Linked DNA regions of Callithrix jacchus. The protein of the gene in region 3 purifies or fractionates together with the protein of the main gene of each other region. This does not show direct contact. Links are inferred from orthologs where the notes say so. Each region holds a gene or a part of one and is shown on either strand. Other genes may lie near its edges. The genes, in order: DDX5, G3BP2, IGF2BP3, FUS, ILF2, TRIM25 and HNRNPA2B1.

Region 1 (4,368 bases), on a different chromosome or scaffold from region 3:
GAATTTCAAAGACTCTTTTAAGGCATGATTTTTGAAAAGATGTATTTAATTTCTTGGAATGATTTCCAGAGTGCTGTAACTTCTATACAGCCAAAACTATATAATGTAAATTCAACTGCCACTGTTGCAGTCTAAATCTTTAGTTATATTACATGGGTGTTTTTAGTCAAAACATATTTACAAGTAAACGAGAATACTGTCATAAACAACAGTTTAACGATAATCCGAGGTTACTAAAAACTCATTAATGGATGTTGCTTCAAATTCCCAATAGTATCGGTCGTGTGTTTCCCCAATTATCCTGTGAAGTCAGGATTTCTCCAGTGCCCGAAACGTGGTGATTAAACTTAGGCTATTAAGAACTGGTATAATGACAACATCAACGCTAATGCATTTATTAAGTTTTTCTTTTTTATTATACTGATCTAAATGAAAGGAAATATGGGAAGTATATGAAAACATCCCTAAGCTCAGAATTATCAATACTGTTGACCTTTCCTGTGCTCCGGACTCCCCTCTCCCAGATATTGCTGGGACTTGCAAAGTTTAACGGTTTCTCTAGCAAAAGTAACTTCGCATAAAATACTTGTTCCCTGAAATGCCTGGCATTGGTAGGAAAGCACTTTCCTTCGGTACTAGACACAAACGTCTCCACTATATTCCGGACACATAACGTTCTGGAAACAAATGAGTGTATCTTCCATGCACATAATTCCCCTCCCCACGCCCATTTCTCACAGTTGGCCAAACCGTGAGAACTGGTTTGTATGCAGTCCTGGCGAAAAGGATGAAAGCGTCCTAGACAACCAAACCAATTCGCTTTTCAAAAGCGTTGCTAGACAAAGCCCATGACTTCAGAGAACACTGAAGAGAAAAAAGCACCAGTATTCTGCGACATGGGCATCAACAAATCTTAAGGTGCTGTTCCTTTAAAGACCAATACAAAAGTAGATTAGACCTCAGGACCCACAGTACAAGGGCGGAGGGCACACTGACAGCGGCCAGACAACTCCACAGAAGGACAAGTCCGGGAACGACCCTTCTGGTTGCTCTTTTTGCACCCAAGACCCGAGTGTGCTACCAGGCTCGCCCCAGTGCCTCTCTCCTACCGCCTATCACTGTTCCACAGCCTCACAGAGAAGGAGAAAAGCTGAGAGACCCTATCCAGAGAACCCGCCACCGCGACGCGGCGTCTGACAGTCACGAGTCCCGCCGACAGCCTAGACCCAGTCCGGGCCAGCCCAAGGCCTCCCTGAAGCTGGACGGCCTCAGTTCACACCAACCGTGACCCCAGGCCGACACTCACCAGCCTCCGAGCCGGCCATGTTTTGGAGGCAGTTTGCCGCCGGACCCCTACAGGCCAGGCAGGCTACGGTGTCCTGGAAGGACCGATCCACACAGATTCGACGCTTGGATGAGGGCGAACGAACCCAAGCGCTGGGAAGGAGGCGTGAAAGAGGGAGGGACATCAAAGGGGCTGCTCGCCGCTGATTGGTCACAGAGCAGCACTTCCTTTCACAGCACGTGCCAGGGCGGCGGTTTGCTGAGTTTAGAGACCATTCTCCGCTGGCCAGAACCCGGTAGATGATTGTCAGATCCGTGGGTCGGCAGCCCAGGCGGGTCCTGGGGCTTTGGGAGCGCACTTCCGGTACTATTTCGTTATGTATCCCTCCGCCGACGTCAACGGAGAAGTAGTGCGGCCCGCTGACCGGTGGCGGGGGTGGTAGTCACGTGACACGCCAGTCCCCGCCTGCCATTTGGTTACGGGCGTGAGGGCCCTTTGGAGACGTAAACATCTCCGAGTGAGGAGGGTTGGCTGGCCTGGGCAGGCTGTTTTATCGTCTGGCTGGGCCTGGGAAAGGGCGGGGTGGCTTGCTTGAGGTGTGGAAAGACGAGAAGAAGGTAAGGTCAAGAGAGTGCAGAATGAGACATTCCAATAGTGGGTGGGCCCTGAGCTGAGAGGCTCTCCTGGAGCGCCGGCTGCCGTTGCGGCTTCTGCGCGACGGGCGGGGCGATTAGGTCATAGAGCGGATCCCAGCGTTCCTTGCGGCGTAGGAGGCGGTCCAGACTATAAAAGCGGCTGCCGGAAAGCGGCCGGCACCTCATTCATTTTCACCGGTCTGTGGTCTTGTAGCTCCGGATTGTGTCATCGCCGTCCGTCCTCCGCTGCCGCCCCCGCAAGGCTTCGCTGTTGTCGAGGCCATTTCCAGCGACTCGTCGCACCCTTTTGTCTGTACTTCGTTCCCCGCCAACCGCAACCATTGACGCCATGTCGGGTTATTCGAGTGACCGAGACCGCGGCCGGGATCGAGGGTGAGTGTGGAAGCCGAGCTGTCAGGCCTAGCAGGTGGGGGATGGGACGGCAGGTGAGGGTGGCGGCCGGCGGGGGCTTTGGGGCTCGGACTCGGCCTTTCCGGATTCTCCTGGGGCCTCGTCTCTTGAACACTTGCGCCATTTTGATAATCACGTAACAGTGATTGGGAGTGGTTTATCGGTGTAGTGCCCTCAAGCTCGCTTTTTGTTGGGATTAGGAAGTCGTCGGGGCCGCTGCCATTTGGTAGCTGTTGGAGGAATTCAGAGGGAGCATATTGTGCGTTGGAAAGCACGACGTTTCGAGTAAGACGAAGTAGCAGCTCTTAGATTCTGCCTTTCAGGAGGTGTTTTTCGGGTGGCCGGGCATTCTGTGGGAGCTCTAGGACCACTTCTAAAGCCACTGATGCTGGGGGGGGTTAGGAGGGCGGTCGGCATTGCCGGCATCAGCCATGTGGCTGAGTCGCGGGTACAAAATGCCGGCCTCGGACATGGCGGCGGCGCCTTTGTTACCCCGCCCGGCGGAGGAGCTCAAAATGGCAGCGTCGAGAAAATGTGGCGCAGAGAGAAATGCGAGACAAAGGGGGAAGCGCCGCCCCAGCGGGAACGCCGCCCGGCCGGCTCCGCCCGGGCCGGGACTCCTCCCCCGGTAGTCGCCGGCTCCTCCTTTTCTTTTTTCCTGCGTTATATAATTTTTATTCGTTGATCGGGAGCTCTACCGCGGCGTCCCCCCAGCTCGGTTTGCTAGCAGAAGTATTTGCGAGAAAACCCTTGTTTTGGTCTCGCTGTCTGTGCTGTCTCGATTCTTTAACACCAAAGCTCTTTGGCTTGAAAACGGCCATATGAGTAACATCGTTGGGATGCTCTTTGGTTCGTGTATCCTTGTTATCCCTGATACTTAATTCCTAGACTGGTGGGGAAGATTATAGTAACCGCAAGAAGTGGTGTGTATCCGAAATTATGGCATCTGGGCCGCAAGTTCCCGACATGATAAATCCAGGGCTGTTTACATGGCCTAAGTGTGTACTTGGGACTACTAGAAATGTTAACTGTGGCTAAGAGAAAGACTATCGTTAAGGACAGTGCTTTGTTTACTAAACCTCTTAAGGTCGTTTTTCAGTGATCTGTAGCTTTGTGTCAAGGGATGGTAAACAAATCTGTATAGAAACCTGTGTTTAGATATTTGAAAACGTGAATAACGTTTTTTCTTTGCAGGTTTGGTGCACCTCGATTTGGAGGAAGCAGGGGAGGGCCTTTATCTGGAAAGAAGTTTGGAAACCCTGGGGAGAAACTAGTTAAAAAGAAGTGGAATCTTGATGAGCTGCCCAAATTTGAGAAGAATTTTTATCAAGAGCACCCTGATTTGTCTAGGCGCACAGCAGTGAGTAAATTAATGTGGCTTCATCAGGCTGTAACTCAGTAATGGATTCTAGTAAATGAAAATCTGACAGGTGTTTTGCAAATGATTCAATTTTGGTAGTTACGTTTTCTGACTTCATAATTGGGAAAGTTGTGACTCAATAGGTGGCTTTGGGATTTTTTTTTTAACTTAATTAGGTTGAGAACGGAATAAACTGTTCTTTTGCCATATAGTGTTTTCATATATGGGTCAGATAAAAACGAAAGCTACTTTACTCAATTACGAATTTAGGGGCTTACCAGTTACATTTAGCTAGGGGTGGTTGCCATGAACTTTAAGACTGTTAAAATTTGTTTTGCAGCAAGAGGTGGAAACATACAGAAGAAGCAAGGAGATTACAGTTAGAGGTCACAACTGCCCGAAGCCAGTTCTAAATTTTTATGAAGCCAATTTCCCTGGTAATTCTAGTTTTCAGTTCTATCTACCACTGGGATTTTGTTCCCACCCACTCCCTTTTACTTGGCATTACTAATTTTTACTAAATATCTGTCACTATAGCAAATGTCATGGATGTTATTGCAAGACAGAACTTTACTGAGCCTACTGCTATTCAAGCTCAGGGATGGCCAGTTGCTCTAAGTGGATTGGATATGGTTGGAGTAGCACAGACTGGATCTGGGAAAACATTGTCTGTAAGT
Region 2 (4,322 bases), on a different chromosome or scaffold from region 3:
GATTCCATTAAACAATAACCAAAGTTCAAAATAAGTATATTCTAAACCTAGAATCTAAGCAACTATTCAATACTGTTTTCAGCGGCTAACCATTAAAAAAAAAATAACGCTGCAAATAATGTCCTTACGAGTTCAGGCAGAAAGCGGTGAATGTGTCCCTAAAGCAGTTTGAGCGGGAAATATCCCTACTACGTCCAAGGTAGCATTTGCCAAATGATATATATTTGGGTCAGCTCGAAAAAACGGGATCGGAACAAATGACACCAGGCGTTCTGATGGGACAGGAGCAGGTGGATTTGTGCCCCAAAGAATATCGTTTTATTCTTAGCCACATGCTCTCACCAACAGCTGGGTTTTAAACCATGCAATCTTCTCCAACGCCCCAGTTTCAGACTGCGAGGGAGGGAGCAGGACTTCAGGCTCGTCTCGGCCAGTGCAGACACAGGCGAAAGGGAAGGAGGGACGGGCCCACAGCCCCGAGGGGCGTGGGAGGCAGTTCGCGCCAGCACTGTCCCGATCCGTCCCTTCCCGGGAGGTACCACCCGCGGACCACTCTCCTAGCCCAAGCTTCGGGGCCTACGCAGCTTGTGGGGCGCGGCTGCCGTCAGTCCGGCCAAGCCGCAGTGATGGGGACTACGATGGGGGCTTGAGGAAGTAACTCTGGGATTTCAAGAGCGGAAGGAGGGCAAAGGTGGAGGCGGCTTGTGGATCTCCCTTCCATGGTGGAACGCGGGAGGTGACCTTCGGGTCTCCGAGTGCTCCCTCCCTGTCCCTGCCCGGACCCCTTCCCAAGTCCCAGACCCGCCGCTCCTCTCACCGTCTCCGCTTCTGTGTGCTGGGGTCCGGCACTCTGACCCCCCATTACCCCACGGAGGAAATTCATCTTGCCTTTCAGCCACCTGGTTTATCGGCCCCTCCGGGAAAGAAACGAAGACAACTTCCCCGCCTTCCGCAGGGCCTGACCCCCAATTCCGCACTCCACACTCTCCTACCGCATCCACCACCGCCTCCAACTCGGCGGCCGATCTAGCCCCTTAAGCCCGGAAACAGCCGCCAGCAGCGGCCAAGATGCGCATGCGCGGGGACGTGGCATTACGTGGCGGCTCGAAGGTTGAAGGCAAAAGGGGAGCGGAGGCGAGAGAAACCTCGTAGCTACGTTCCGCCGGAGCCCCGCCCACTGCGTAGGCCCTGCCTCCCTCCTCAGGACTCGCTTCTACCCCCGCCCTTCGCGGATTGTTCCCGCTGGCCGCAGCCACCCACGTGGTCGAAGCCCGGCCCTGCAGGGTGGAGAGGATTTGGTTACGCGTTTCAACTTGCACGCAGGGTGTTTAATTGCTCCCGAGCGGGACTTACTGCAAGCTATCAAATCTGAGGTCTTATTCTTTTTGAGTCGAAAGTGAAATTTTCCTTCGGCCGACGTGACAGGTAAGGGGTTCCGGCCCCTGGGAGGGTTCGTTTGGTTTGACGGTTTAGTAGTACCAGCGTTGTGGCTTTCTTATCCCGGTAAATTGCATTTCTTTACAGGGCTTTGTTTGGTGGTAAAAAGGGTACTAGACGCCCCTCATTCCACTGCCACTGGAGGGCGCATTTCTCAGCTCTTGCTCTTCAAACCTGCTCAAAGGAATTCCTAGATCTAAACACCAGGTACACCTCAATTTTCAAGTGTCGTCAGAAGGAAACCCACCAAACTCTACATTTAGCTTACTAGAGAAATACATTGTTCTGCTGTGTCAGTTTGGCGAGTAACATAATGTTTTGTTATTAACTATTAACCCCTGCGTTTTCAGTGTTTTTTTTTAACCTGAAAAAAATGTCATTTTCTCAAATTGATATGCCTGTTTCTCCGGCAGTGAGGTTGTCAGTACACATGCTTCTGGAATAATCTTGTAAATTTCTTGAGGCTAAAAAGCACAGGGTCTAGTTAGTTTACTGACTCATGCACCTCTCCTCTTGGATTCCCCTCAGGTCTCAGATTCAGCCTTTAAAATTGAACTCATCTTCCCCTGCCTCCCTTAAAGAAAAAAAGTCAATACGCTGCTTCTACTGTGTGCATGCCGTGCTCAGTAGTACCACTGTCCAAATAAGTGCCTAAGCTAGACAGAGGAGGCTGGGAAGAATCTTAGACTCTGGCTTTCCACCCACGCATGTCCAATCAATAGTCACGTCCTATCATTTTTATATAAATGACTATTTCTCAGATAGGTCCTCTGCTCTCCATTCTCTATGCCTATGATATAGATTATGTTCTCATCATTTCTCGTTGAGATTACAGCAACAGCCTCCTAACTAGTTTGTCTGCATTCAGCCCTGGCTTCCTTCAGAAAGTCCAATCTCCAGTCCTCCCTTGGGAGAGACTAACAACAACAAAACATCTGTTTATGTCAGTCTTTTAAAAATCCTTCAGTTGTTTCCCCTTTCTCTCTAAAATAAAGTCCAAACTCCTTAGTTTGTCATACAGGCCTATTGTGATTGGCTTCTGACTACTTTTTCAGCTTCTGCCTCCCCCACATACTCTGGACATTTTTCTCAGACGTGGATACGCCCTTCCCCTCCCTTCTCTTCATCAAGCAAACTCCTGCTAATTCCTTAAGACTCAACTTTGGCATCATTCTTGAAAGCTTTCCCTAAAATCTAAGTATATATCTATATGCTAGCACTTTGCAGTTATTAATACTATATATGGTGGACATTCAATAAACGCTTGTTAAACCAAACTGTTAAGGGCAGGACTATGTTTATTCATTTTATATCTCTGTTGCTTACCACTGTCTCATAAAAGGTGATATTGATGGATAAATGAATAAATCATTGAAAGAATATATGAAAATTATGCTAAGGAGGAGGTTCCCTTTTTTTAATCTGTAAAGTGGAATTGTAGGGAACACATCATAGGCAATGTGTTTCCTAGTGCCAACATTTTAAGCCTGTGCAACTTGGAGAATGGTGGGGTCATACTGCCAAAAATACTGTGCACTAAGCATTGTCCTCTGCTTGAAAACTATATACACTTGACATTTTACTGTAGTCATTTTCCATGGGAGCATTTTGTTGCAGCCTAAAAAAGGTAACCAGTAAATACTCAGCATTTTTATTACCAAGAAATGCTCTAAAGAACTTCACTCAAGCCCCTAAGCCTCACCCATCCCTAAACCTCACTCTACCCCATCATCAGGAATGAGGCTCACAGATGGAGTGGGCCACAGCTGTCTGTTACTCCCCTTATTTAGTAATTAAAAAGAGTGCCTTGACATTTTAGCAAAGTTGTTTAAAGGCACCAGCCCTATCAAATGCCTTGTTTTGTTTTGTTTTGAGACGGAGTTTTGCCCTTGTTGCCCAAGTTGGAGTGCAATGGTGTGATCTCGGCTCACTGCAACCTCCGCCTCCTGGGTTCAAGCAATTCTCCTGCCTCAGTCTCCTGAGTAGCTGGGTTTATAGGCATGCACCACCATGCCCGGCTAATTTTTTTTGTATTTTTAGTAGAGACGGTGTTTCTCCATGTTGGTCAAGCTGTTCTCGATCTGCCGACCTCAGGTGATCCGCCCACCTTGGCCTCCTAAAGTGCTGGGATTACAAATGTCAGCCACTGTGCCTGGCCCTGTTTTGTTTTAAACTTTGGTGGGTACAGTAGGTTACTACACTTCAGTGAGGAAAGTTGGTTACTATACTTTAATGAGTATAGTAGTAACAGCTTACTATGAGTTTTCCCTGCATTTGACTTGTTTTCTTCCCCAACAGCAGCCCCTGAACAGGAGGGATAGACAGTTGGGTGCCGATGCGCTGAAGGTGAGATCCCCAAGGTATTGTCCCTACAGAACAACCATGAAATGGACTCCTTATTTCAGAAGAAGAGAGTTACATATTAATCCACTTCTATGATTTGTAGAGAAAAGTCGGGGACTGTGTTATATTCCTGTTTGCACCCTTTAATCATCTAGTATAATTTTTTTTAACATGGTAGATGTTCAGGAACTACCTGACTTAATAAAGGAAGAGAAATCATGAACAAATTGTGACCCCCTGACTTGCATGGTTACATTTCTGGCTTTCATAAATCTAAGCATTCAGGATAAGAGTGCCGTGAATCATTAAAATACATATAATCAAAAAGAAAACGAATGATTCTTCTTTTTCTAAGCCAAACCTGACAATAGATCAGTGAACAAGATTCATTGGTTTGAAATCCATTTTTAAAATTGCTTTCTTTTTTTCCTATCGTTTCTTACTTTCTAGTGGAAAACTCAGCAAAAGCAATGAAATCTAATTGCATAAGATTGTTTTTTTACTTGGGGTAGTAGTGAGGTGGAATACTGTCAATGCCTGCT
Region 3 (3,773 bases):
CAGTGTCCTCAAGACATGGCAGCTGTCAAGATTGCATTGTCTTTTATAACATAGCCTCAGAAGTTATACTCTATCATTTTTCTAATATTGTTTACACAAGTCAGCCCTGTTTGGTACGTATGTGGTGGACTGCAGATAACTGGGTGGCAGGGAGTCACCTTGGAGGCAGGCTACCACACCTAGAATCTGGATGGTCTCAAATTACATTAGAAAGGTTTTTCTTTTTCTGAGGGTGACTATTCTTAGTTTCAGTCAGAGTACTCAAATGGTGGGAAAAGATTGATGAACTGAAGAAGAATGGTAGGGGAATGACTGATGCACAGTGTTGTGTAGCAAGTTTTCAAAGGAGGTAGTACAGAAGCAGGAAACTTCGGTTTGGTTGTAGAGAAAGGAAAAAACCCACGAAGTGGTAAATACAGTAATACTACTTTGTCTTAAATTTACCCCCAGAAAGGGGAGAGTTTTAAAAGAAAAAAATCTTAACAGTGATTCTAGAAACAGCTATTTAAAAACTGTAATACAAAATGCTTGGCAGGGCAGGTTGAAACTGAATTAGAATTATATACTTCTTTTTGAAGTAGTCTAAGAGAAATAGTCTTCATTATATAAATGTTCATATTTTTAGCAAGTTTTAGGAAAATGTTAAGGAATAACTTCCCATTCATCTGGGGGAAGGTTAGGCTATGACATTTTACTAGTACTGAAAATGAGAACTTCAGGAAGATGAAGGGGATTTGTACCAATAACCCATATCCTCTCAATTTATATACTTAGTTCTGTTTTCCATGGCAAATATCTCTCATCACTTTCCTGCATAGGCTTAGGTGTTTTCAGGTATGATTTTTAGTGGCTTTTGAAGGTTCAGCAGGACCTAGGTCCTGCAGGGAGTGTCTGAATATTGCTGCCACTGTCTAACGTTTTTGTTGTCTAAATGGCCATCAGTGAACCATTTTAAATTTTACTCAAGATGGACTGATATTCCTCCAGCCTACTTCAATCTAAATTCTAAAAAAAAAAAAAAAAAAAAAAAAAAAAAGATGGTAAAAACTAGTTTAGACACGTGAAGTTTGGCTTGTGGTTTTGAATATTTCCATTCTTTCTCCTTGCTTGGTGAGCCAGAAAATACAATTGCATGAGAATGCCAATTATGCCTAGAATTGGTTAGTCCAGACTAGGAACATACTTAGGAAAGGTTATGTACTTAGAGTATATGGTTTCCAAAAAACTATACATCTTTCCAGTCATTTTTCCATTCACTGTTAAATTGTGAAAATGGTTCAACTTTAAGAGGTTGAGAAGTAAGCTATATTTAAAAGAAGGACTTGATTGAACTATATGTACCCAGTAATCTTTACTTGAGAAGATGGGAGGCCAAGTATTTTCTTCTCTCTTGCAGCTTTACAATTTTGGATTTATGTCTTTTGGGGCTTACTCATTTCCCATCATGTTTTACCACCCACTTTTACATATTACCAAGCTCCACAGTTTGTTTTTAATTGCCATGGGTGGCAGAATAATTATTAACTGCCTTCTTTCTACAATTTTCATTCTTTTTCTTTCCCTTCTTTCTCATTCTGCAGATTGCAGGAATTGACGCTGTATAATCCAGAACGCACCATTACAGTTAAAGGCAATGTTGAGACATGTGCTAAAGCTGAGGAAGAGATCATGAAGAAAATCAGGGAGTCTTACGAAAATGATATTGCTTCTATGAATGTTAGTTTTGTTATGAAGGGCATGTCTTTATTTTAAAAAATAGTTAAAATGATGTTTCTAACTGCATTCATAGTGAATTATTTTGTGGCATTATCATTAGAAGAAGTTCTAGCTGATTTTTAGCACCGCAGCAAGTACCCTGGGATAGTGGTGAAGATACTGGCTTTGACATTAAGCTTTGCTGTCTCTGTGACTTTAGCAAATTATTTAGTCTTCAAGCATTAGCCTCCTTCTCTCTGAAGTAAGGCTGGTGTCTACCTACAAAGGTTAATATAGTAAGTACCTCTTTTACGATGCTAATTTGAGAGTTTAATATAGAAGGAATATTACATGAACTGGATTTGAATCACAGGCAAACTATTTACTAGCTGCAATTCTATTCTCTTAGATGATTTACTTAGTCTCTCTGAGTTTCAGTTTACTCATCTGTAAAATGGGATTACTGCCTACCTTGCATGCTTATTAGGATTACAATAGCCCTAATGCATATCAAAGTTAATGTTAAGATTACAGGTTTAAAACTTGCTTGGTTACCCATATAAACCTTGGAGATACAAGAATTTCAATTGATTAAACAGTCTGCATAGTGCATCTGAGGCTATTAAAGCAAATTGCTGACATTGCTTAGTGAGTGAAATGGTGCTGAAAGTGGAAAACTTCAAAAGTCCATCTTAAATTTTAAAGTAAATGATTAAAAAAAAATTTTTTTTCAATTGGGCGAGACATCTGAAACACAAAACCTGAGAGAAAGAAAACGTGAAAACATTGCCTTTGTCAGGAAGTCTAGAATGCAAACTATTTTACACCCCACATGACTCCCTGCCAACCTTCTTCATATTATCACTACTTGGCTCCAAATGTCTTAGAATCAATGGGATTAAATCTAACCCCCATAGGCCTTTTAAAAAGATTGTCACATACACTCTAATCTCCCTTCCACGATCTACATTACATCCTCAACCCTTATAAAATTAAACAAATTAAAATCCCCTTTCTGGCTCCTATATCCATTCCAGTGATATGTTTACTTGCAGTAGTTACATGGGGATGGGTCCCAATTTCCAGAGGGCTCGACTTTGAGTTTTCTAGACCCATGGTTGCTAAATTTTACCCAGCGAGTAAAGATCTCCTAATAGCTGGTTTGCTTTTCAGTTAGCCAATCTCACTTGATTACCTCTTAAACTCGGATACATCACTTTCAGTCTGTATTTAGTTTGCCCACAATATGTAGAGTACAGTTTTGTCTAAGCCCTGTGAGCTAGTCATAAGGAAAAGGAAGGCTGCCCTTGAGATCTCTTAATGCAGTTGTAAACGATATACTCAAGTAAAGTCCCATGGAACATCTGCTCTGACTTATAAGATGGTTTTTTTATTAGATCAGTAGTTTGAATATTGTCACTTAAAAATGCTCACTTTCCCTTGATCCATTTAATTGTCAAATTAAGGGTCCTTTTTACTATTGCAGCTTCAAGCACATTTAATTCCTGGATTAAATCTGAATGCCTTGGGTCTGTTCCCACCCACTTCAGGGATGCCACCTCCCACCTCAGGTCCCCCTTCAGCCATGACTCCTCCCTACCCACAGTTTGAGGTAAGATAACTGGCCTTGGCTTTCTTTGTGATTGGGCAAACTCTTAATGTAAACCTACTCCCTGGTGATCATCTATTTAGAGCCAACATATACTCTCCAGTTCTTGCTAATGAAGCCGACTTATGGAGTGTGGAGTAGACATGGGATTATTTTGAAGTTTTTGGATAGTAGGGTTGTCAATATGTGTTTTCAAATATCACAAGAAAAGTTTGGGACCCTGAGGTGGCAGGAAAAGAAACTTAGTGATTTTTTTTATTTAAAAATTTTTTTCTCTTTTTAATTCAAAGTTCTGGGATACATGTGCAGAACGTGCAAGTTTGTTACATAGGTATACGTGTGCCATAGTGGTTATTTAAAAATTTTTTTGTGACAGAGTCTCTCTCTCACCCAGGCTGGAATGCAATGGGGTCATCTCGGCTCACTGCATCCTTCACCTTCCAGGTTAAAAAATTCTCATGCCTTAGCC
Region 4 (3,773 bases), on a different chromosome or scaffold from region 3:
TATTTCCTTTCCCTGAACCACTGTATAATTCTCAAAACTCTTGGGAGTCTGAGTTCTTTACAGGGCATTGTGGCAAACCTACAGTACTGAGGAAGGAGGATCCCTTGAGCCCCAGGAGTTTGGGGCTGCAGTGAGCTATGATTGTGCTTGAGAGTAGCCACTGCATTCTAGCCTGGGCAGTGTATTGAGGCCCTGTCTCAAAAACAAAAAAAGACAAAAATGTTTATTGGTTTGTAATTGTTTCCATTTATTTTATTTGGCTTTAAATTTTTTTGGTCCTCCTGTTTTTCATCTCAGCATGAAAGAGAGCATATTTTCTAAAGGAAGAAGAATGTTAGGCTGATTCTTTTTTTTTTTGAGATGGAGTTTCGCCGTTGTTACCCAGACTGGAGTGCAATGGCACGATCTTTGCTCACCGCAACCTCCGCCTTCTGGGTTAAAGCAATTCTCCTGCTTCAGCCTCCCGAGTAGCTGGGACTACAGGCATGCACCACCATGCCCAGCTAATTTTTGTGTTTTTAGTAGAGACGGGGTTTCACCTTGTTGACCAGGATGGTCTTGATCTCTTGACCTCGTGATCCACCCGCCTCGGCCTCCCAAAGTGCTGGGATTATAGGCGTGAGCCACCGTTCCTGGCAGGCTGATTCTTAAATTGAGAAAATGGTTTTGCTTGAAAATGTATAAAATCATATGATACCTAAGAAGGTGGGATTTGTCCCAAGGTCCTGAAGCATAACCAACGAATGTGGTTGTCCTGCAGAAACTGCACACATAGCTGCACATTGCAGTGCGGTTGCAAGGGATCCTTGGGCCTGGGATTAGAGGGTGTTTCTGGAGATGGTGTTGGGATTGGTGGGGTGAAATTGGAACTGTTCTAAAGAGTTGGTAGAAGTTGGAGCATTAACTTTAGGTTTTAGAAGGAGGGTGGTAACTTTTTGCCTGTGAGTTGCTAGATAACTAACGGCTTCTGAGAGGCTGACTTTTTGAGTATGGGTGAGTGTTAGGTTGTATATGTTTTCTTTAACCCATTCCATACATTTTCTCTTTGCTGTGGCTTTTGTGACTCCCTTTTTTTATCCTCATAGCAGGCTATGGCACTCAGTCAGCTCCCCAGGGATATGGCTCAACTGGTGGCTATGGCAGTAGCCAGAGCTCCCAATCATCTTACGGGCAGCAGTCCTCCTACCCTGGCTATGGTCAGCAGCCAGCTCCCAGCAGCACCTCGGGAAGGTACAGTGGTGTTGATGTCAGGGGAAGGCTTGAAGAGGGGTGAATTGATGAGGAATGATAAAGGGACCCAGGAGTAGGAGCAGCTTTGAGGTATAATTGGGGTGGGGGAACCTATGTTGGGTATAGAGAATGGAATACACTAAAAACAAAATTTGGGTATGCTGGGATTATGATTTTGTTTTTCATTTGTTTTCTTTAGTTACGGGAGCAGTTCTCAGAGCAGCAGCTATGGGCAGCCCCCGAGTGGCGGCTACGGCCAGCAATCTGGCTATGGTGGACAGCAGCAAGGCTACGGACAGCAGCAAAGCTCCTATAATCCGCCTCAGGGCTATGGACAGCAGAACCAGTACAACAGCAGCAGCAGCAGCAGCAGCGGTGGGGGTGGAGGTGGGGGTGGAGGTGAGATGTCCTCAGCTTTGCCAGCAGTTCCATTTTCTATAAGGATTTGTATTCTCCTGTTTGACTCTTAGCTTAAAGGGATTGCTTTCTTGTTCCCTATATGTCTTTTTAATTTATTTTGTCCTTTATTGCTTGGCACTTGTTGAACCTTTTTGTGTTACTTTACTTTTTTGTTTGTTTTTTTCCTTAAAACCTATAGCACCTGGTATTTCCAGGAGGTCTCCTATCCAAATGCTAACTAGGCCCGACCCTGCTTAGCTTCTGAGATCAGACGAGATTGGGTGCATTCAGGGTGGTATGGCCGTAGACTTTTTAAAACCATTCTTTCTTTTCTCACAGGTAGCTATGGCCAAGATCAGTCCTCCATGAGTAGTGGCAGCGGCGGCGGCAGTGGTGGTTATGGCAATCAAGACCAGAGTGGTGGAGGCAGTGGTGGCTATGGACAGCAAGACCGTGGAGGCCGTGGCAGGGGCGGTGGTGGTGGTGGTGGTGGTGGTTACAACCGCAACAGTGGTGGCTATGAACCCAGAGGTCGTGGAGGTGGCCGTGGAGGCAGAGGCGGCATGGGGTAGGTGTCTTATGAGCCAGGGAGTATCTTTGGTGGGGAGTGTGGAGGATTGCATGAATTTCCCTGAAGCCAGTCCCTAGTGCATGGTTTAGTATTCTTGTTGTCTAGGGATCTGTGAGGGCTTTGATTTGGGGTCAGTGACTGTTTTTACATCCCCATTTTATTTTTGTGAGAACTTGGGAGCTGAAACTCCCATCCATACCACTAAATAGAGATTTTGAGTATTGATACTTGTTTCCAAAGAGAAAGAAATCATACATAGATATGTATGGATTGGAGTCATTGATATCCTAGGCAAGAAACACGGAAGTGAAGACTTCTTTCTCTGCAAGGGAAACCGATGATCCCACTCCTGGGAAATAGTAGGGAAACTTGGTATGTGTATGCCCATGTGTCCTCTAGGGAGTTGGTAATGATTAACCTGACTTCAGCTTCTAGGAATTGGCTACTCTTCCTGTTTTCTGTAGTCATTTGAATCCACGAGCTTGATTTGCGCTAATTTGACAGTGATTTTGTGTGTGACTTGGTTTGTGGGGCCATCCGACTGAAGTGTACAGACCTTTTGGGCAAAAATATGCTTGACGGTGGTCTCCCAACTATTTGTTCCACTGTCTGCCTTCCCCTGGTTACTTAAAAATCATCAATTTGTCCAACTGGACATTCTTTCCTTCCTGCTGAAGTTGATTTGAGTAAAACCTTAGATTTGATGTTAAAACAGCCGTCAAATCTGTTGGTAAATATGATTTGAAGGACCTTACCCTGTCTCCCTTGAAAAAGGGGAGGAGTGTCAGTGTTACTGTTTTTGGAAAAAGTAGATTTTTAAAACAAGTTGGGATATGGTAAGTATGCAGAGGTGGGTGGGGGCAATCTCAAAAACGTACAAAAATAAGGAAAACTCTGTTGTGTGCGTGTGTTTAATGCAAAACTTTAAAAAGAAAAACAACTGTTATGTGACTGTTAACTTGCTCTGCATTTTATGTGCCACAGGTATGAAAGGTGACATTGCAAAATACTCCGCTCTTCTCGCAGTGTAGAAGGGGTGACCCCGGGGGTTGGGGGAGATCAAAAACAGCTCAGTAGTTAGGACAGGGCTTAGCTAAGTTTGTCTTGCTTTAAGGGGAAATTGCTTTTGGTTTTGACTTTTTATGGAATGGGGTTGGGTCTGCTTGCTGCTTTCAAAGCAAAAACCACAAAAATGTGTTCAGGGCTACCCCAGCCTGGTGTGAAATGTCTTCTGGGTAAATTGGGGTAGGGTTTTTAAACCAACTACTTGGTTGTCAACCACTTGCGACAAGAGGAAAAAAAACATCTGCTCCATCGGAAGAACGACCGAGGAAAATGGGTCATTTTTTTTCCAGAGGAAATAGATATATAACCTTTTAAAGCAAAATCTTTATAAACTGTGTCTGAGAAATTGCACACGTGTGTGTGACACGCTCAAAGGTCAGACAAGGGGTGGTCAGGAAGGGATGTATTTTAGTAGTCACTTGTATCTTTTTCCAAAAACACCTACCCATGTTTGGGGAATGTTAAACAAAATCAAAAAAACACCCTTTTGTAGCCGTTGGAAGCTTCA
Region 5 (4,559 bases), on a different chromosome or scaffold from region 3:
CAAGTGATTCTCCTGCCTCAGCAACCAGAGTAGCTGGTATTACAGGCACCCGCCACCACGCCCAGCTAATTTTTTGTATATATATTTTTAATTTTAAAGAAAAATAATTTTAAAAAAAGATGGGGTTTCACCATGTTGGTCAGGCTGGTCTTGAACTCCCGACCTCATGTGATCCGCCCGCCTTGGCCTCCAAAGTGCTTGGCTTACAGGGGTGAGCCACTATGCCCAGCCAATTTTTTGTATTTTTTAGTAGATATGGGGTCTCGCTCTGTAACCCACGCTGGAGTGCTGTGGCACGATCTTGGCACATTGTAACCTCCGCCTCCCGGGTTCAAGCGATTTTCCTGCCTCAGCCTCCTAAGTAGCTAGGATTACAGGCGCGCGCCACGACAAAGACTAATTTTTTTGTATTTTTAGTAGAGACAGGGTTTCACCATGTTAGCCAGGATGACCTTGATCACCTAACCTCGTGATCCGCCCGCCTTGGGCTCCCAAAGTGCTGGGATTACATGGGTGAACCAACGTGCCCGGTCCATCATCCAGATTTGTGGGGTGAGGGAAGAGAACTGGAGGGAAACTGCAACGGGGACGAGTTGGATTCTCCTCTCTTTGCCCCTTACTTTGCCCCCCTTTTCTTTACTTTTTTTTTTTGAGACGGAGTTTCGCTCTTGTTGCCCAGACTGGAGTGCAATGGCACGATCTCGGCTGACTGCAACCTCCCCTCCTGGGTTCAAGCGATTCTCCTGCCTCAACCTCCCTAGTAGCTGGGATTACAGGCACTCATCATGCCTAGCTATTTTTTGTTGTTGTTGTTGTATTTTTAGTAGAGATGGGGTTTTATCATGTTGGCCAGGCTGGTCTCGAACTCCTGACCTCGGGTGATCAACCCGCCTCGGCCTCCCAAAGTGCTGGGATTACAGGCGTGAGCCATCGCGCCCAGCGTCTAGGCCCCCCATTCCTTTTTCTGCGCCCTCTCCCCAAGGGCTGTCTCAATTTCCCCCGTATTCTCTCACTAATCATGTTTTCTGCACTAATTCAATCAATACTCTCCTCTCCTATCTGAAACCTGTTTCTTCTGTCTCGAGTTTGTAGACATGTAATGTTCATTGTTGCCCAAACTCCCTTTTCCCCAACAACTTCAACTCCGAGTGGGAAAACCGGCTGACATCGGTTGTATTTTTGAGGTAGGAAAATTTAAGAAGATATTTTGATGTTTTCATTCACCGAAGAAACCTAAATTATGTGTGCCGTATAGGACACGAAAATGAAAAAAGAAAAAAATCCGATAGCAGAGGATGGTTTCGATCCATCGACCTCTGGGTTATGGGCCCAGCACGCTTCCGCTGCGCCACTCTGCTATCTACAAGCCACTCTTTTTCAGGACTGTTATAGAAGACTCTCTATGTAGCTGTTGTCCCTATTTCTTTAGTGCCACCTAATGTCTGACCAAAAATCCGCCATTACTATAGAACCAGTTCTTATTGGCTAGTTCCTGACACAGTAGGCTTTTTTTATTGGTTCATAAGCCCGGGTTGACAGAGTAAGCCAATAGGCATAAACGATTGGGTTAGGCGGGAGCCAATCGCGCTGGGTTTTATTGGGACACGCCGGCAAGACGCCTCTTCAGTTTTCCGCTCCTCGGAGCAAAGGGGCGGTTGGTGCGGCCTCCATTGTTCGTGTTTTAAGCCGCCATGAGGTAAGGGGGTCGAAGTGATCGAAAGGTTGCAGGTATTCGACGGAAAACTTTGGGAACGTGGGCCGAAAGAAGTCGGAGGACCTAAAAGCGCCGTGTGTCCGGGAGCTGGCCAAAAACCGGAGAACTCCCGGTCTGGGAGAGTAGGGGAGTGGGAGGCCGGCAGAGGCGGGGAAACTTGGGCCCGGGATGGGGTTGGGGCCCAGGAGTGGGGAGGCGGGTTCGGCACCTTTGTCTCTGAAGGGTTGCGATGAGGGGGTGTCCTCAAGTCCCCGGAGGAGCTTCCCCCGACCCCCCATCTGGGGTGAGAAGGCTGCAGCGAGCCGCTTTCATCCTCAGTGCAAAGGGCTTGACACAGAGGACATGCCCCATAAATGCGTACGTTAATGAAGAAATGTGCAACTTCTGGCCTCCGAAGTATTAGGATTCGTGTGGCCCAGGATTATGGGTTATTTCGTGTAGGGGCTGAGTGTCTGAGCCCCGTGATCACTTGATGCAGGGTTGTGATTAACTCATCCAGAATGAGGAGGTTATGGGGATGTATAACTGGGCACCATTTGGAATGGGGAAAAGTGCAAGTGGGCATGGGGTCTCTTGCCTGCCGTTCGGAGGTTCCGAGGGATGAAAGTAGTAGCCACCTTAAAATGATATGGCCGGTGAGTATTCCTTCAATGAGGTCAAAATAAAATCTGCGTTTCTAGGGGTGACAGAGGCCGTGGTCGTGGTGGGCGCTTTGGTTCCAGAGGAGGCCCAGGAGGAGGGTGAGTGCCGGTTTTTAGCATCTCTGGACTTGGTTGTTAGTTTCTGCTTGTCATCTAAATAGGAGTTTTGGGGAAGACTAAAGTCACTTGGTTTTGTGAGAGCCAACTGTGGTCTTTACCTGCACCCCTGCTAAATGAATTTGGCCCCACTATGCTAAGAATGATTCCCCCTCCCCAGAGACTTTGTCACTCATTCTGAGGACTGACACGTTTTCAAAATTGCTGGTGTTATACATCTCACTTGATTCCTACATAGGGAATAATTTAGCTGTTTTTCATGTTTTAGGTTCAGGCCCTTTGTACCACATATCCCATTTGACTTCTATTTGGTGAGTACCTTGGGTTAATCATACACATTTACTGGCCACTAGAAATGGAGCTCCGGATCTCCCAGTTGATGAAGCTAAATGGTGGTTGAAGAGGCTGGGTGCAGTGCCTCACATCTGTAATCCCAGCACTTTGGGAGGCCGAGGCAGGTGGATCAGGAGTTTGAGATCAGCCTGGCGAAACTCCTTCTCTACTAAAATTACAAAAGTTAGCTGAACATGTGCCTGTAATCCAGCTACTTAGGAGGCTGAGGCAGGCGAATTGCTTGAACCTGGGAGGTGGAGGTTGCAACGAGCTGAGATGGCAGGACTGGGAAAAAAAAAAAAAGTGAAGTAGGGAGGGAAAGGGATTTATGAAAAGACTTGGGGTTTTGAGTCAACAGCTCAACAGTGTGTTGCTTTACATACAGAAACAGTGTAAGCAGGGTGGGGAGATTAATTCCTTGGCTACTATTGGCATTAAATATGATTATCTTTTTTCTGAACAAGTAATTATATCTATGGCTTATCTGTTATAGTGATAGCTTAAATTATGGCTATTCCAGCTTGTATCCTTGGTTGAACTTTTTTTTTTTTTAAAGACATCATCTCACTCCATCACCCAGGCTGGTGCAATCTTGGCTCACTGCAACCTCTGCTTCCTGGGTTCAAGAGATCCTCCTGCCTCGGCCTCCCAAGTAGCTGGGATTACTTGGGAGGCCTGCCACCATGCCCAGCTAATTTTTGTATTTCTTTTTTTTTTTTTTTGAGATGGAGTTTCGCTGTTGTTACCTGGGCTGGAGTGCAATGGCACCATCTCGGCTCACCGCAACCTCCGTCTCCTGGGTTCAAGCAATTCTCCTGCCTCAGCCTCCCGAGTAGCTGGGACTACAGGCGTGCACCATCATGCCCAGCTAATTTTTGTATTTTTAGTAGAGACGGGGTTTCACCTTGTTGACCAGGATGGTCTCAATCTCTTGACCTGGTGATTCACCCGCCTTGGCCTCCCAAAGTGCTGGGATTATAGGCGTGAGCCACTGCGCCCAGCCCCAATTTTTGTATTTCTATTTAATAGAGACTATGGTGTCCAGGCTGGTCTTGAACTCATGACCTCAAGTGATCTGCCCACCTCAGCCTCCTAAAGTACTGGGATTTACAGGCGTGAGCCACCCAGCCCAGCCTTTGAACAATTTTTTGTTTCTTTTTTGAGGTAGGGTTTCACTCTGTCGCCTAGGCTGGAGGGCAGTGGTGCGATCTTGGCTAACTGCAACCTCTGCTTCCTGTGTTCAAGTGATTCTCCCACCTTAGCCTCCCAAGTGGCTGGGATTACAAGTGTGAGCCACCATGCCCAGCTAATTGAACAAATTAAGGAGTGAAAACAAGTATAGAATTTTCTATTCTTAACTTATTCTGTTGTAGTAACAGAGAAAACAATCTTTCCTGTGTATTATTTTTGGTAAATAGAATGTAGTTGTTTATTTCTGATTTAGTGTGAAATGGCCTTCCCCCGGGTCAAGCCAGCACCTGATGAAACTTCCTTCAGCGAGGCCTTGCTCAAGAGGAATCAGGACCTGGCTCCCAATTCTGCTGAACAGGTATGTTCTTTTGGCTGTGTTCCAGAAATGTCTCTAAAACAGTTAAAAGTATTGGTAAAGAGTAACTGTTGGTAAGGGTAAGAATGGTGTTAAGGTAGCCTGAAAGCCACAGAAGGTTTAATTTTCTCTTTATTTCTCATTGTGGGTAGAGATAGCCAGGTGGATATGTACACAGATTATATACACTTATTTTTTTATTTTTTTT
Region 6 (3,773 bases), on a different chromosome or scaffold from region 3:
AGAAAGAGGGGGCCTCAGTCCTACAACCATAAGGAACTAAATCCTGCCAGCAACCACATGAGCCTGGAAGACAACCCTGAGCTCCAAAAGAAACAGCCTGGCCATCCCTTGCAGACTATAGCCTGGTGAGACCCTATACAGGCCACCCATAAAGCCATGTCCAGATTTCTGAGCCAGAGAAACTCTGAGAGAATAAATATATGTTTTTTGAAGCCCCTATATTTGTGGTAATTTGTTGCCCAGCTCAGAAAACTAATACAGCATGTGTCTCAGGGATGCTTCCAGTGACCTCTTCCAGTCCCCAGCTCCTTGCGGGCCCTATCATCAATAGCAGGACATCAGGAAAAAAAAAAAAACCATTCAACAATGCCTCCTGGCAACCCACCTCCAGAAACTCGAACTCATCCCCCTTGGTCAGGCCCCGTTCAATCTCCTCCTTCAGCGTCTGGATCTCACTCTTCTTCTTGAGGAGAATCTGATAAATGCTGTCCAACTTGGTGTTGACCTTCTTCTCCTCCTCCTTTATCTTCCATGTCAAGGTGGTCTCTGAGGTGTCCAGGAGAGCCTTCATTTCCATGTATTCTTGTCGTAGCTGCTCCACCTTTTTGTTTGCAGTCAACTGAGAGGGCCAAGGTAAGAGGGTGCTTGTCAAATGGGCAAAAACGCTGAGGCTGCAGCCCCAAGCATTGGTAAGATGTGGAGTTCTGGGAACTCTTACCTGCACTTTCTGGGAGAGCAAACCACTTTGGAGAGCAACTTGGTAAAATCTAGTACCTTTGGAGGTGCTCATATGCTATGACTCAGCAACTCCAGTTTTAGTAATACATGCTACAAAAACTCACAGCCACCTGCCCCAGAGACATGCACCAGAATGTGCACAGGCAGCACTGTCTGAAGTAGCAAAAACCTGGAATCAACCTGAACGTCCACTGGTAGAAGGCTTGATGCAAAGACTGGGAACTATTCATAGGATGGAATACTAAACACTTATGAAAATTAATAAACTGGAGCTATGCATGGATGAATCCCCATGAGAGAAAAACAACTTGCAGAAGAAGACCAACCACATGATGCTCTTTCAATACAGCTTAGAAACAAGCAGAATGGTTAACATGCACAAAGAAATGCATAGGAATGAATGAATAAATTCAGGAGAATGGTTATTTCTGGAAGAGAGGAAGGGGACAGAATAAGGGAGAAACAGGGCCAGGCACAGTGGCTCATGCCTGTAATCCCAGCATTTTGGAAAACTGAGGCTGGCAGATCACAAGGTCAAGAGATTGAGACCATCCTGGCCAACATGGTGAAACCCCATCTCTGCTAAAAATACAAAAATTAGTTGGGTGTGGTGGTGCACACTCATTGTCCCAGCTACCCAGGAGGCTGAGGCAGAATTGCTTGAACCCAGGAGGCAAAGGTTGCAGTGAGCCGAGATCACGCCATTGTGCTGCAGCCTGGGCGACAGCGCGAGACTTCGTCTCAAAAACAAAAAAAAAAATAAGGGAGAAACAGATGGGAGGGGCTGCAGCAATGATATTTTATTCCTTAAGCTAAAGGCAGTTCATGGGCAATTTTTAAAAATAAAAGTCAGGGCCGGGCGCGGTGGCTCAAGCCTGTAATCCCAGCACTTTGGGAGGCCGAGGCAGGTGGATCACAAGGTCAAGAGATCAAGACCATCCTGGTCAACATGGTGAAACCCCGTCTCCACTAAAAATACAAAAAAATTAGCTGGGCACGGTGGCGCGTGCCTATAATCCCAGCTACTCAGGAGGCTGAGGCAGGAGAATTGCCTGAACCCAGAAGGCGGAGGTTGCAGTGAGCCGAGATTGCGCCATTGCACTCCAGTCTGAGTAACAAGAGCGAAACTCCGTCTCAAAAAATAAAAATAAAAATAAATAAAAGTCAGGATGCAGCTCTGGAAAATTTCTGAGAATATCATGCTCTAGAACTATACTTCCCAATAATATAACCACTTGCTACATGTGGCTACTAACCACTTGAAATGTGGCTAGTCCAAATTGAGACTCAACATGAGTATAAAATACATACTGGCTTTCAAAAACTTTACACCAATAAAAGGCATGTAAAATATCTTACTGCTTTAAAATTGATATGTTGAAAGAATAATATTTCAGATATACCAAACTGAATAAACTGTAATATTAAAATTAATCTCAGCCAGGTGCAGTGGTTGATGCTCATAATTCCAGCATCTTAGGAGACCGAGGCAGGAAGATCACTTGAGGCCAGGAGTTCAAGACCAGCCTGGGCAACATAGTGAGATCCCTTCTCTACACAAATAAAAATAAAAAACTATTATTCCTATAATATTATTATAAAATATATAATAATAAAAATTATTATTCCTATAAAAAAATTAGTATTCCTAGCTAGTGGGAGGTGTAGGGTGGAAAGGGGGCGTAGGCTGAGTCAGGAGGATTACTTAAGCCCAAGAGTTCGAAGCTGCAGTGAGCTATGATTGTTCCACTGCACTCCAGCCTGGATAAATAAATGAAATAAACCTAATGTACTATCGAATTAATTTAAAGTTACATCTGCACTCCCACTATATTTCTGCTGGACAGCACTCCTTCAGCAGCTGCAATTTTGTTTCCCATCTTGGATGGCCTCAATAGCTGCTATGGTTTGAATGTCTCCTCCAAAGCTCATGTTGAGATTTAATTGCCATTGAGGTGATTAGGTCGTGAGGGTTCTGCCCTCATGAATGGATTCATGTTCTTCTCACAGGGGTTTGACCTTCTCTTTCCTGTCTCACTCTCCTGCCTTCCATCCTTCCGCCATGGATGATCCTCACCAGATGCCGGAAGCATGCTCTTCGACCTCTCAGCCTCTAGAACTGTGAGCCAAATAAACTTTTCTTTGCAAATACCCAGTCTGTGGAATTCTGTTATAGCTGCAGAAAATGGACTAAGACGATAGCTCAGAATCAAACATAACAAAGAAAAAAACACACGAGAAGGACAGCAGACTGGAAGAGAGGAATTCAAGTATTTCTTCACCAATCTTTTATTTATTTATTTTTTTGAGACAGAGTTTTGCTCTCATCACTCAGGCTGGAGTGCAATGGCACGATCTCGGCTCACTGCAATTTCTGCCTCCTGGGTTCAAGAGATTCTCCTGCCTCGGCCTCCCAAGTAGCTGGAACAACAGGTGTGCACCACCACACCTGGCTAATTTTTTGTATTTTTAGTAAAGATGAGGTTTCACTATGTTGGCCAGGCTGGTCTTGAACTCCTGACCTCAGGTGATTCATCCGCTTTGGCCTCCCAAAGTGCTGGGATTATAGGCGTGAGCCACCGTGCCCAGCCTTCTTTGCCAATCTTTTACTGTGCAGCATCTAATGTGACTACAAGTGTCCACAGTGCTCATTTTCCCCTTTTTCCTTTTGGTAAGAGAACATTCCTGGAGTTTCTTCTGGGCATGTGGCTACCCAGACTACGTTTCCCAGTGTCCCCTGCAGCTAGGCTAGGCAATGTGACTAGCTCCTTCCACTGACACATGACCAGGAGTGATATGTGCAACAGTGTGTCACTTGTGTAAAGGGAAATTGCTTGTTGTCCTTCACTTCCTCTTTGTCCCTTTTCTCACAGGCTAGAACAAAGGTGTAATGGTAACCCAGCTTCAACCAAAGAGGTTGGGACAATACTTTGTGGAATAGTAGGGCAATAAGAAGGGAGGACCCTTAATCCCCAAATGATCACATGAACCCCTAGTCTGGGTTACTCATGTTTGGGTTTGGACTGTCAGTTGGC
Region 7 (4,277 bases), about 2.9 Mb from region 3:
GCCGCCGCACCCTTGGGACAGCGGGCCGCGCGCCGCCCGCCCGGAGGCCTAAGTCTCGGCCCAGCCCCGCGTGGCGGCCAGGGGAGGGGGGGCCCCTCCGCCAGAATGCTGGTGGGGGAGGGGAGGAGAAATGCGCTTTGTCTCGAAAGAGTGACGGTTGCCACAACTCTCTGCTCCCTCGAGGGCAGAACAGTCCCCCAATTAACTGCAGGCGCTAACCCGCGCCACGCCAGCCGCGAGGCCACCGCCCGACCTTCCGCTCCTTCCCGCAGCTCCAGGTGCGGGGTCTGGCGGGGAACGAAGGGAAGGGGAGCAAGGAACCGGGCCCCCGGAGCGTGTGTGGTATCTAAAACACCGCCACTGAACGAGGGCTAGACAAAAGGAAAACCACCGACTTCACCGCCTCCGAGGTGCTCCGGGTCGCGGGTCTGCGGCGTCTTCGGCCCTGCGCGCCAGCAGCTCCAGCCACATCCAAGTGGGGAGGGAGCCGGGAGCTGCGCAAGGGGCTGCGGTGGGGAGGGGCGGCACCGCCTACGCCGGGCGGCCACGAAAGGCGGGGCAGCGGGCGCGCGCCCGGCGGGAGGGGAGGGGCCGTGCGCCGCGCCCCCTGGGAACTGGGGCCCAAGGTGGGGAGGGCGGCTGCGACGACCGCGGCACTTACGGTTTGCAGCGTGGCTCCCGGTGGTCCCCCGAGGGGAGGGAGAGGGAAGGAGGGGCGAGGACAGCGACCTGAGTCTCTCGGCGGTGGCTTTTCTGCCCCGCAGCCTCTACGGCTGGCGCCAAAACCGGACTCCGCCTACTTCCTCGCCCCTGGGCGGGTGGGGGGTGGAATCCTCCAGACGCTGGGGGAGGGGGAGTTGGGAGCCTAAAAACAACTCGCTTTGGGACCCCTTTTGGCAGGGACTCCTGTACGCCAGAGGTCAGCCCCATAGGCGCGGGCCAGGGTTAGGTCAGTGCGGCGTGAATAGTAATTTGACTATAAGTTGATTCGGGTGTTTCCGGAAGGGGCCGAATGGGGGCACGGAAAACGAAAAGGGAAAGCTACGAAGATTTTTATGGCGGGAGAAGGAAGGAAGGTATCAAAGGCGTAGCTGCAGAGACCACCTCCCGTGTTGAGGGGGCTGGACCTCCGGGCTGCGGTTTAAGCTCCTCCCGTCGGCGTTAATTTCAAACTGCGCGACCGTTTCTCACCTGCCCTGCGCCAAGGCGGGGGCGGGGGGGGCGGGACCCTATTCTGAGAGGTAATAGGAGGCAGGCCTCGAGCCTTCCTCAATTCACTGAGCGCATTTACGGAAGTAACGTCTGGCACTGTCGCTAGCCGCGAGGTGGGGAGGGCTACGCATTTGGCGTAAGGCGGGGCGCAGAGCCTTCCCGCCATTGGCGGCGGTTAGGGCGTTTACGCAACGGCCTGACGTAGAGGAAGACGCGTTAGTCGGGGGGGAAGGTTCTAGAAAAGCGGCGGCAGCGGCTCTAGCGGCAGTAGCAGCAGCGCCGGGTCCCGAGCGGAGGTTCCCCTAGCGGTGTTGTTTCTCGAGCAGCGGCAGTTCTCACTACAGCGCCAGGACGAGTCCGGTTCGTGTTCGTCCGCGGAGATCTCTCTCATCTCGCTCGGCTGCGGGAAATCGGGCTGAAGCGACTGAGTCCGCGATGGAGGTAACGGGTTTGAAATCAATGAGTTATTGGAAAGGGCATGGCGAGGCCGTTGGCGCCTCAGTGGAAGTCGGCCAGCCGCCTCGGTGGGAGAGCGGCAGGAAATTGGACCGCTTCAGTAGCAGTGGGTTCTAGGTTTTTGAACAGGGTCTTGACAGAGGCCTGAGCGTACAAACAGCTTCCCCACCCTCAGCCTCCGGCGCCATTTCCCTTCACTGGGGGTGGGGGATGGGAAACTTTCACATGGCGGACGCAGCCCCGCTGGAGTGAAAGTGGGGCGCGGAGGCGGGAATTCTTATTCCCTTTTTAAAGCACGCTGCTTCGGGGGCTCCGGCGTTTCGGCGGCGAGCGTTTCGGCGGGCAGCGGGTCCTCGTGAGCGAGGCTGCGGAGCTTCCCCTTCCCCTCTCTCCCGGGAACCGGATTTGGCGGCCGCCATTTTCATGGCTCGCCTTCCTCTTAGCGTTTTTCTTTTAACTCAATTAATTCTCCTAGTGTGATTTCTCTATCAAGGCTTAGAGGTGGTTAACTGTTTCTCTTTCTTCTCGGGTTGTTTTCATACCGTTTCGAGGTGGATTTGGAGTGTTTTGTGAGCTTGGATCTTTAGAGTCCTGCGCACCTCATTAAAGGCGCTCAGCCTTCCCCTCGATGAAATGGCGCCATTGCGTTCGGAAGCCACACGGAAGAGCGGAGCGGGTGGGGGGGTGGGGCCGGGTTCGCAGGCCCGGTTTCGGAGAAGGTACACCACTCAGAGCATCGGGCCGGGTTCAACGCCAGCCATAGGACAAAGAAGCCATTATATATTTTTTCTGTTCTTTTTCTTTTTTTTTTTTTTTTAACTCCAGTGATGGTTTTATCTCGGTCCTCGGTTACTAATAAGGCAGATGAATCCCAGCGAAGTAGACACAAATTGGAAGCCCTCGGCCACGAATGGCAGGGAGAATGGTGGTTTTCGGGGCGGGGGAGGGATATTCACGTCCGAATCCTTTACTGCCCTTAAGGATTTCACTTAAGTTGTAGAGCTCAATCATTTTAAAAATATTTTTACTGAGAATTTTGATCTTTACGGGGTCAATCCACGGATCTTTAAAGATTACGAGGAAAGTGAAAACTATTTTGTCCTTAGTCGTAATTAGGTTAAAACATGGCTTCAGAGGCTCCTTCCTGTAATGCGTGTGTATTGATGTGCAAAATTGTATTGGGCCTGGGCCGCTCTGTATTTGAACTTTACTTGCTTTTCTCATTTATGTTTGCAATCTTGGTTGATCATTACATTGATAAGCATAAGGTCTCAAGCGAAGGGGGTCTACCTGGTTATTTTCTTTGACCCTAAGCACGTTTATAAAATAACATTGTTAATAACCGATAGTGGACGTCGGGTAAGTTTGGAAAAATTGTGAGGTAAGTAATGAGTTTTTGCTTTTTGTTAGTGATTTGTAAGACTTGTTAATAGATGTGCATTATTCTTAATGTGAGTTTGAGAGACACATGTACTGACGACAAAAGCTAGCTGAAAAAAATCAAAATATATCTTGGCAAGTAATCATTTCGAAAGACGGCTATGTGTCTTTAGGAGCTAGTTTGATACTTTGTTAGTTTTTTTAATTTTTACGAGTCCTGAAGACACCACAAGAAAAAGATCTGAACTGGCTTTTATCACCATTTTTTTTTTTTTTTTTAGCATTTGGGAGCATGTGGATGGCGGGAGAGCTCTGTAGAACTGGGATGAGAGCAGCAATAAATGGCGCTTGCTTTGAACAAAAAATTCTTGACTCAAAATGATATGTGACTCTAAATTTGCATTATGCATTCATAGCAATTGTCTTGGATATATATGACTGATTCTCGTATGAGGTTTTAACCTAGTTACCTTTTAAGACAGGTTTACTGAACGTTCTTTTTTAACTGTCCAAAATACAATGCTGTGTAGTACAGCATATTTGTTGGTTCCCAGGTATTAAAATATTTCATCTCTGAGGTTTTTCCTTTTGACTTGGAACAGCGTTTTGTGCCGTGTCTTCCTACATGGCCAATTAAGTTCAGTAAGCTTCACCTTTCAGTATCTTTAAAACACTGCTTAGAGTTTATGCCAGGTGAATGTATTGAGTAATTTTTAAGGTTATTTCTAATGCATATCTTGACTGATTGTTTTGTAACTGAGAGTCGTGGAGAAACCTAATGTTAGTGTTTTTTTTTTTTTTTGGCTGAGATACTTAGAATCACCACCAGAGGGGGCAGTTAAGGGAAAATAAATGCTATTTTTCAGATACTGAATCGTGAATTTTGTTCTTAAGGAAGGATCCAAGAGTTATTTTCTAATGTTTAAAAATATAAATCTGCGTTTTTAGGTTATAGGGTTGGAATTTTTGGGTAAAAAAATTTTTACTAATCTTTGGATAACCACGGTCTACATTTGTTCATTTCTCCTTAGAAAGCTTTTTTAATTAATAATTTGTTTAAGATAATTTGATGTTGAGTAAATTTAGATCAAGCATTAATGACTTTGAAACTTGTGTAGATCAGCTGAGGCAATTTTTTGGTGTAACACAACTAATATGCAGTTTAACATATGGTTTAAATTTGATGTAAGTTTTTTTTTTCCCCCCCAGAAAACTTTAGAAACTGTTCC

What was found.
Region 1: the proteins of IGF2BP3 (region 3) and DDX5 fractionate together in Homo sapiens (co-fractionation; 3 studies listed by BioGRID, with this or other methods). This does not show direct contact. The link is inferred for Callithrix jacchus from reciprocal best matches to the Homo sapiens genes IGF2BP3 and DDX5.
Region 2: the proteins of IGF2BP3 (region 3) and G3BP2 purify together in Homo sapiens (affinity purification with mass spectrometry; 3 studies listed by BioGRID and IntAct, with this or other methods). This does not show direct contact. The link is inferred for Callithrix jacchus from reciprocal best matches to the Homo sapiens genes IGF2BP3 and G3BP2.
Region 4: the proteins of IGF2BP3 (region 3) and FUS purify together in Homo sapiens (affinity purification with mass spectrometry; 3 studies listed by BioGRID and IntAct, with this or other methods). This does not show direct contact. The link is inferred for Callithrix jacchus from reciprocal best matches to the Homo sapiens genes IGF2BP3 and FUS.
Region 5: the proteins of IGF2BP3 (region 3) and ILF2 purify together in Homo sapiens (affinity purification with mass spectrometry; 3 studies listed by BioGRID and IntAct, counting the BioPlex papers as one, with this or other methods). This does not show direct contact. The link is inferred for Callithrix jacchus from reciprocal best matches to the Homo sapiens genes IGF2BP3 and ILF2.
Region 6: the proteins of IGF2BP3 (region 3) and TRIM25 purify together in Homo sapiens (affinity purification with western blotting; 3 studies listed by BioGRID, with this or other methods). This does not show direct contact. The link is inferred for Callithrix jacchus from reciprocal best matches to the Homo sapiens genes IGF2BP3 and TRIM25.
Region 7: the proteins of IGF2BP3 (region 3) and HNRNPA2B1 purify together in Homo sapiens (affinity purification with mass spectrometry; 4 studies listed by BioGRID and IntAct, with this or other methods). This does not show direct contact. The link is inferred for Callithrix jacchus from reciprocal best matches to the Homo sapiens genes IGF2BP3 and HNRNPA2B1.

What each region holds. Positions count from the first base shown.
Region 1 is NC_133506.1:89,766,598-89,770,965, reverse strand, and holds the start of DDX5 (putative ATP-dependent RNA helicase DDX5), read left to right. Parts: upstream 1-1,537; 5' UTR 1,538-1,648; intron 1,649-1,741; exon of another isoform or gene 1,742-1,902; intron 1,903-2,099; exon of another isoform or gene 2,100-2,134; 5' UTR 2,135-2,269; coding exon 2,270-2,313; intron 2,314-3,525; coding exon 3,526-3,691; intron 3,692-4,031; coding exon 4,032-4,128; intron 4,129-4,228; coding exon 4,229-4,362; intron 4,363-4,368. Other genes in the region: CEP95 (centrosomal protein of 95 kDa), read right to left, coding at 1,307-1,325. UniProt on the Homo sapiens protein: Involved in the alternative regulation of pre-mRNA splicing; its RNA helicase activity is necessary for increasing tau exon 10 inclusion and occurs in a RBM4-dependent manner. Binds to the tau pre-mRNA in the stem-loop region downstream of exon 10.
Region 2 is NC_133504.1:122,417,789-122,422,110, forward strand, and holds the start of G3BP2 (ras GTPase-activating protein-binding protein 2), read left to right. Parts: upstream 1-1,286; 5' UTR 1,287-1,425; intron 1,426-1,524; exon of another isoform or gene 1,525-1,644; intron 1,645-3,735; exon of another isoform or gene 3,736-3,738; 5' UTR 3,739-3,797; intron 3,798-4,322. Other genes in the region: USO1 (general vesicular transport factor p115), read right to left, coding at 818-883.
Region 3 is NC_133512.1:34,781,344-34,785,116, forward strand, and holds part of IGF2BP3 (insulin-like growth factor 2 mRNA-binding protein 3), read left to right. Parts: intron 1-1,580; coding exon 1,581-1,716; intron 1,717-3,181; coding exon 3,182-3,307; intron 3,308-3,530; exon of another isoform or gene 3,531-3,773. UniProt on the Homo sapiens protein: RNA-binding factor that may recruit target transcripts to cytoplasmic protein-RNA complexes (mRNPs). This transcript 'caging' into mRNPs allows mRNA transport and transient storage.
Region 4 is NC_133513.1:30,697,974-30,701,746, forward strand, and holds part of FUS (RNA-binding protein FUS), read left to right. Parts: intron 1-1,085; coding exon 1,086-1,230; intron 1,231-1,429; coding exon 1,430-1,629; intron 1,630-1,819; exon of another isoform or gene 1,820-1,938; intron 1,939-1,968; coding exon 1,969-2,197; intron 2,198-3,773. UniProt on the Homo sapiens protein: DNA/RNA-binding protein that plays a role in various cellular processes such as transcription regulation, RNA splicing, RNA transport, DNA repair and damage response. Binds to ssRNA containing the consensus sequence 5'-AGGUAA-3'.
Region 5 is NC_133519.1:14,091,496-14,096,054, reverse strand, and holds the start of ILF2 (interleukin enhancer-binding factor 2), read left to right. Parts: upstream 1-1,641; 5' UTR 1,642-1,691; coding exon 1,692-1,696; exon of another isoform or gene 1,697-1,826; intron 1,827-2,394; coding exon 2,395-2,454; intron 2,455-2,740; coding exon 2,741-2,783; intron 2,784-4,249; coding exon 4,250-4,354; intron 4,355-4,559. UniProt on the Homo sapiens protein: Chromatin-interacting protein that forms a stable heterodimer with interleukin enhancer-binding factor 3/ILF3 and plays a role in several biological processes including transcription, innate immunity or cell growth.
Region 6 is NC_133506.1:109,423,350-109,427,122, reverse strand, and holds part of TRIM25 (E3 ubiquitin/ISG15 ligase TRIM25), read right to left. Parts: intron 620-3,773; coding exon 386-619; intron 1-385.
Region 7 is NC_133512.1:31,900,897-31,905,173, forward strand, and holds the start of HNRNPA2B1 (heterogeneous nuclear ribonucleoproteins A2/B1), read left to right. Parts: upstream 1-1,475; 5' UTR 1,476-1,647; coding exon 1,648-1,653; intron 1,654-4,257; coding exon 4,258-4,277. UniProt on the Homo sapiens protein: Heterogeneous nuclear ribonucleoprotein (hnRNP) that associates with nascent pre-mRNAs, packaging them into hnRNP particles.